2 linked regions of the Kluyveromyces lactis genome follow. The protein of the gene in region 1 interacts with the protein of each later gene in a pairwise test. Links are inferred from orthologs where the notes say so. Each region holds a gene or a part of one and is shown on either strand. Other genes may lie near its edges.

The links.
Region 2: the proteins of FPS1 (region 1) and HOG1 interact in a two-hybrid assay, tested with the Saccharomyces cerevisiae proteins (2 studies listed by BioGRID, with this or other methods). The link is inferred for Kluyveromyces lactis from reciprocal best matches to the Saccharomyces cerevisiae genes FPS1 and HOG1.

The regions. Positions count from the first base shown.
Region 1 is NC_006041.1:51,725-55,525, reverse strand, and holds FPS1 (Fps1p), read right to left. Parts: upstream 2,424-3,801; coding exon 732-2,423; downstream 1-731. Other genes in the region: GOS1 (Gos1p), read left to right, coding at 1-631. UniProt on the Saccharomyces cerevisiae protein: Channel protein for glycerol. Has a role in both glycerol influx and efflux. Plays a role in osmoregulation: under osmotic stress the channel is apparently closed to allow accumulation of glycerol in the cell under hyperosmotic conditions.
Region 2 is NC_006042.1:1,865,641-1,869,130, reverse strand, and holds HOG1 (mitogen-activated protein kinase HOG1), read right to left. Parts: upstream 1,923-3,490; coding exon 588-1,922; downstream 1-587. Other genes in the region: ATP-binding cassette glutathione S-conjugate transporter YCF1, read left to right, coding at 1-345. UniProt on the Saccharomyces cerevisiae protein: Proline-directed serine/threonine-protein kinase involved in a signal transduction pathway that is activated by changes in the osmolarity of the extracellular environment.

The sequences.
Region 1 (3,801 bases):
AACGGTCAGATCTAAGGCAATTTCTTTAGAATCACAAACGGATTCTCTGTTGACTAAATATTCTTCTTTTGCTCAAACAACAAGTTCTGAACCGTCAGGACAAGAAACGCAATTGCAGGAGAAACTAGAGAAGATTCTCAACCAGAGACAGGAGACAGTGGAATCTTTACAAAGAATTGCAGACAGTGAAAGTAATATATCCACGTCCAAGCTATCACAGCTACAGCGCCATAGGGAAACATTACAAGACAATTGGCAAACGTTCCGTGACATTCGCTCCTCCATACAACAAGAACGCAATCGCCTTAACCTCTTGTTTTCAGTGAAGAAAGATTTACAAAATAGTGCTAGTGATAATCAAAATGAATATATTCAAGATGAGGCTCGGAGAGTCGAAAATTCTCACACAGTGGTGGATTCTTTGATAGACCAGGCTTATGAAACCAGAGAGCAGTTCATGTCACAACGAGTGTTTTTACAAAGGTCTAGTGACAGAATCTTACAGACTTTGCAACACATTCCTTTGATTAATAATGTGATATCAAAGATAAACACTAGAAGAAAGAAGAATGCTGTAATATTGGCATCCTTAATATCAATTTGTATCTTAGTACTATTTTTTACAGCATAAATAGTATCAACTGAGGTAATTAAAACTTGATAAGATCACTGTTAATGCTATGATAGGTACGTAATTCGTTATAAAGGGAAGAATGCATTTGTGTTTGTTCTCATGCGCTTCTGTCACTATGCTTTTGGATGAAATTTGGTCGGGAGTAGGTTGTTTCTTCTGATTCGAAGATTGTAGGAATACCTGTGCTAGGATTTCTTGTCTTTGAATTCCTCAATACGCTCTTGAAATGGACTTGTTTGTTCTCAGACGTCTGAGATCTGTGGCTTTCTACGTTTGAGGTTGTGTTATTAGTACCGATGGTTTCTAAATCAGAACCAACGAACCCAGATGATGTTTTCACCTTTAGGAGTTCCCAATGTCTTCTAAACCAATCGGTATAAGCTGAAAGTGGTAAGTTTAGAGGTGATTCGTGCCCTTGATATATGCAAAAATCATATACTAAACCACCAGTGAAACTTCCCACGAATGGAACGACCATTGGAACCCAGAAGAAATGGTGATGCGTGTTAAAAATCACATCTTTGTCCATCCCGATTGTTAAGAGAGCTAGCCTAGGTCCCATATCTCTCGCAGGATTCAAAACAGCACCTGTCTGGTATGCGCCTGCTGCATTGAGAATAAACATAAGAATGAAAAGCATCATAGGAAAAAGGTCCGTGGACAAACATGTATAAGGATCTGTTAACGAGAAAATTCCACACTGCAGCATGGCCCCTATTAGAAATTCTGCAATTATTTGTCTTGATGTAGAGAGATAATCCAATGGCACGACACTGAACATTGCCAATACACTTTCCTCCAAATGCCAGTTTGGATATACATGTTCAATAACCTCTCGATAGTACCACAAAATTAATAAGGTTCCAATATACGAGCCCAGGTATTGTCCCATAAAATAAACACCTAATTTTCTCCAAGGGAATCCTCTATAAACAAAATTTGACACCGTAATTGCTGGATTCAGATGTGCACCCGAAATTGCACTACCACCTGCTGCAAAATAACCCATTACCACAGCCGCAGCCCAACCAAAGGCAACAGTTGCGAAATTACCTGCAACATCTGGAGTTGCAAGATATTGCAGCATAGCTATTTGATCAGACTCCATGTTATTCAACTGAATAATTTGATTAAATTTGTTAATTTGATTTTGTTGTGAAAGTTTCCTTTGACAGTTAACAGCAGTACCAAACATCATCATAATCATGGTACCTAAAAACTCACCGAAAAATTCCTTCATGTGTTGGTACTTAAACGATGACCACTTATTGATCGGATAATATGTCGAAGGTAAAACTGTGGGTGTTTGAGGGTTTTGATATAAAGTCTTTGGTTTCACCATCATAGTCACGGCACCATTCACGTTGCTCGGATCATTTGGATCTGCTGCAGTTTGACTGTTTTGATTAGGTCCCGTCGTCGATCTAGACATCACGGATCCCGGACCTTCTGTAGGCCTAGGTGGCATGACGTTAGAAGTTACGGTGTTACTTCTTATCCTCCTATAGTTATTCATATTTAGTGACGTATTCGGTACCACCTCTTGCACAGGAAAATAAGAACCTTCGTCCAGATATTGTTGCACGTAGGCAGTAACAGGAACCGTAGCCCCATCATCTGCACTATCGTTATCATCGTCATAACCGCCTTCGCCTGAGATTCTACTTTCATTCCCGTCAACGCTACCTGTCGGATAACGATGATTCACATTTGCAAAGTCATCGTTCTGCCAGTCACCATTGGATATTCCAGCGTCTTTGACAGGCTCATATTGGGCCGTCTGTGACATTTCAACCGCAAATTATGGCTGCAGCTACTATAGGATTCTGATTATCTAGTATTGCTAGAGTTCTCGTTTCAACTAGTGTTCGGCAAGTCGTAAATATCCGAAATCTGTACAGTTAATTAAAAAACTTTCGCAAAATTATAGATATTATTGATATGTAAACATGAAAAATATCCATTATTCGAAAGATGAGTTAGTTATGTGAACGTTTCTATAATATTTACAACTACCACGGCTGAGGGTTCTTTTTTTTTTCCTTTTTTTCCGAGATTATCTAAGCTGACTTGCCTGCCTAGAACTTGGGCAAAACCGATAATCAAGACAAGTAGAACATCAGCCGTCATCTGGCAAGAAGAATTGACGGTTTGGTTTCACCTTTGTATTTTTCCTCAAATACTTAGAATTAGCTTTTAGTATTCTGATTCTGGTATGAGAGTGGCCGTTGGTCCAGGCGCAAAACGTGGGATCTGAGAAAGAGGAACAATATTACTGTACAAATGAGACTTGGCTTGGAGGATCGTCGCTATTACACACTGTTCTTTATGCTTTTCAAACATTCCAAGAAAAAAATTCAGAATGTCACATAGTGTTTTTGCATCGTTCCTTTTCAATGTTCAGAGGTAAAAGAGTTGGATAAGGAAAATCCATTCACATCATAAGTAACTTTCCACAAAAGAATGATACCGACAACCTTCTCCTACCAATTGAAAAAAAATGCGGGGTGCTGAAACACAGAAAAACAATCCTTCAGTCAAGGATAAGAGTTTCATTAATAACGGTCTCGAAATGTTGCTGCGGGAATCTTCTTTACACTCTTTCAAGAGTAGCTTATCTTAAGCAGAGAGCAATTGAAGTAAAATTCCCCACACCTGTGATGTGAAATCTAGACATAGTGTTTTCTCTCTAAGGTTACTTCTCTTTGTTTTGGTAGTTCTTTTTTTGTTAGGGCGTGGGGCTCCCCGTTGGATACAAACTAAAAAGATCAAAAATGCCAATTCGAGATTTTCAGCATATCGTGCGTGATATTGTCTCATCGGACAATCAGGATATCAAGAAATCTAGAGAATTGAACATGTCGGATAATTAGCATTGCGCCGTTGTTTCTATATCCCCACAGAAATTACCAGGAACCAAGTGATTTTCTCAAGGCGAAAGCTGGGAGATTTTCTGCACTAGCAGCTTTTGTTCGTTATTTTTCTCCGTTCTCCCACACTATAACAAAAAGTGGATTGGGAAACAACCCAAGTAAAAATAGGCACAAAAAGGCGAAAAATTCAAAGGAAATATGACCCGGCTAGGATTTAAATTCTATAGCAACGGCAATCTTTCCAGCAGACATTACTACCTATTTTTATAGCAAACAATAGTAGCGGTTGCAGAA
Region 2 (3,490 bases), on another chromosome or scaffold:
GAGACCATGCTTACTGAAGGTGGTAGTAATTTAAGTGTAGGCCAAAGGCAATTGATGTGCTTGGCTCGTGCCTTGTTGATTTCAAGTAATATCTTGATTTTGGATGAAGCAACTGCAGCTGTTGATGTTGAAACGGATCAATTGATCCAAAAGACGATTAGAAACGCATTTAAGGAAAGAACAATCTTAACAATTGCTCACAGGATTAACACAATTATGGACAGTGATAGAATTATAGTGTTGGATAAAGGTAGAGTAACAGAGTTCGACACTCCTCAGAATTTGTTACAGAAGAAGGATTCTATTTTCTATTCGTTATGTCTTGAAGCCGGCTTAACGGAGTGAAACCCCCTCAAGTTGTATTATCATAACAGAGATTTTGTTTATTTAAGTACTTTTGTAATAATTTTGTTAAGCAATTGTTTCCTAGTTGAGATGCCCTATCAGAATTATAAATAATATTCGGTTTATCGTAAGAAACGTGTAAATAGTTACATTTCTGCTGTGATTAAAAGATGCTTTATATAATACGAAATAAAAACAAAAAAAGAATATACTTCTGTCAAGCAGATTTCATTACATTGAACTTATTTGAATTTGGAGACGTATTGGTCTGCTTGATTAGCAAAATTCGTCAATGTTTCGTTTGCTGGATCAGGGCCAATAGAGAAAGAAGGGTTAGAATTGGAATTAGAGTTAGCGCCACTTTCAAGTTGTTGTGGGGTCACTTGAGCCTGGGGAGGAGTAGAGGCGATTGTCTGTTGAGTTTGCTCTTCAGTTTGGTGTTGTTGCTGCTGCTGTTGCTTAGAGGCAGCCTCCGCGGCGGCGACAGTGGCAGCGGCTACTTGGTCGTCGAAAGTAGCATTTGTATTGATTTGTGGGTCACCGATTTGATGGAAATCCAAGATCTCGGAATACATCATTACACGCCAGGTGTCAACAGGTAAGTCAGCATCGTTGAAATTCCAATCAAACTTAGCTTCTGCGATAGGTTCGTCGGTTGGGTCATGATATGGGGAAAGGTAAGGATGGGCCAAGGCATCAGCTGCTGTAATTCTCTTCTTTGGATCGAACACAAGCATTTTTTCTAGAAGATCTATAGCATCTGGTTCCAAGTTCTGGAACCTCGAACTGAATGGTACAGGATCTCTATGAGGTAATGAAGTAACAAATTTGAGAGTGTTCTCTGAGCAAATAGTGTCTATGACATCTTTTGGAGGCGATCCTAATAGATCAGTGATGATAGAAAATTGATGCACGTGATCTTTACCTGGGAACAAAGGCTTACCCTCGATCATTTCGGCAAAGATACAACCAGCAGACCAGATGTCTACTTCAACATTATATTTTTGCCAGGTCAACATGATTTCTGGGGCTCTATAGTAACGGGTTGACACGTAACCAGTCATTTGAGGATCTTGAATCCTAGCAAGTCCGAAATCGCAGATCTTTAAATCACAGTTCTCATTGATCAAGATATTGGAAGGTTTCAAATCTCTATGGATCACACCTGCGGAATGAACGTATTTAAGCCCCCTCAAGATCTGGTATAAGAAATATTGAACGAATTGTTTTTCCAAAGGCCTTGTCTGCAACAATCTATGTAGATCCGTCCCTTGCAATTCAGTGACGAAATAAATATCTTCTAATGGTGACAAGAAGATATCTTCGAGACAAATCAAATTCTCATGCCTTAGATGCTTTAACAATTTGAGTTCCCTATACGTTCTTTTTGCCAGTACGGAAGTAGAAAACGGTTTCATAATCTTCTTAATCGCTACAGGCTGGCTTGTTAGCGTATCTGTAGCAGAACAAACCAACCCGAAGGCACCCATACCAACCGGGTTCAAATTAGTATACCGATTGGTAATTTCGAAAACTGTACCAAAAATTTGAGTCCTAATAAATTCCTCATTCGACATTTTATTTCAATTGGAAAAACGTGTCCAGCTTCGATATCCTCGAGTTTTTGGTTCAACGAAGGATACGTATATGAATCTAATTCTTTGGGAGATCGCTCGAACTGGCAGATAACTTAAGCAACGTTATAGCAATTGTTGTCGAAGGGTCTCCTAGTTTTGTTTCTATCAAGTTTTCTTTAATTTTCAATTTTTTAAATTTAACGACTTGAATATGAAATTCAACGGTTCTAATTCACTAAAAAAAAAAGGAAGGGCCTGGCAAAAAACGATGTCCATTCACCGATAATGGAGGGGAAAGTGTCACAGTGGGAATTATATAAAACACTGTTTCGAAGATTTTATCACCGTTTGGTTCTGTGATTAACCCTGAAATACTGCCTGTGTACTTGTTTCCTATTTAAGACGTAACAACAGCTCTGACAGATAGGATCGACGTCGGCTTGATAGATTGGGTTATTATATGTGTATGCATGTATGTATGTAGAGTAAGATTTGCGAACAGGAGGGGCAGTGGCGGATTATGATACATGACATCCGGGTAATACTTCTACTGATATCACGTGATAAACCAAGTAAGAAACCCTTGAGAAGACCACCCAATTATTGCACACCTGTGAATACCGTGACGTTACATATTAATACTGGTGACCATAAACGTTAAAGGTACTTCTTGATCAATAATTATACATTTCCTCATTTAAAGTTTCTTTGTAAGTCGAAATGACAGTTTTTGGACAGACATCAATTTGAATAAAGTATGGTTTGAAACCGCCTACTTACATACAACGTGATCTGATAAGAAAACTTACGAGACAGGGTAATAGATGCATAGAAACGGATTAGTAACTTGATGTTACCCGGGAAATCACACCTCTTGGTTTTCTAGGCATGGAATAGAAAAAATGGACGAACCGTGAGATGATTTGCAGTAGGTAAAACCCACCGGCCGCGCCCTTGACGCTCTGTCGTAGTTTGTAACCTACTATCGGCGTTTCCAGGGTCTATTTACAAATCAAGCCATGACATCCTTCTCTACTGGTGACTGATCTGACTTACACTCAACATGAGTCGAACCCGCGACTCTGGAATACGACGATATACTTGAGATTTGTGATTAGCGCCTTTAAAGCCCTATCATGGAACCCTTGAAACGCGATCGCACAGGGTAAACAAAGCACACCATCTTGCAGAAGCAAGCAGACAAAGGGGAACGAATCTGATTAAAGAGTGAAATGCCCAAAGTCTAGAACCTTTTTACAGGGTACCAAATATAGAAGATTACGCAAAACTATAAAACCAAAACAACGGAAATCAAAACAAAAAGAGTCCGCAGCAACTACGTAATTTTTTCGTGGATTCTATTGCCTTGTAGTATTGCGTAGAAAATTGCTCGTAGAAAATAATCTCCCCCTCAGTTCTACCTGAAAAATTTCGAGTTCATATCGCTCGCTATCTGATATCTTGAATGAGACCATCTTTTATTTTTTCTCATCTGGAGTGGGATTTTTTTAATATCTTGCCTATGTTACTATAGATATGCGTTGCTAGCTATCTTCGATGCGGGCGTG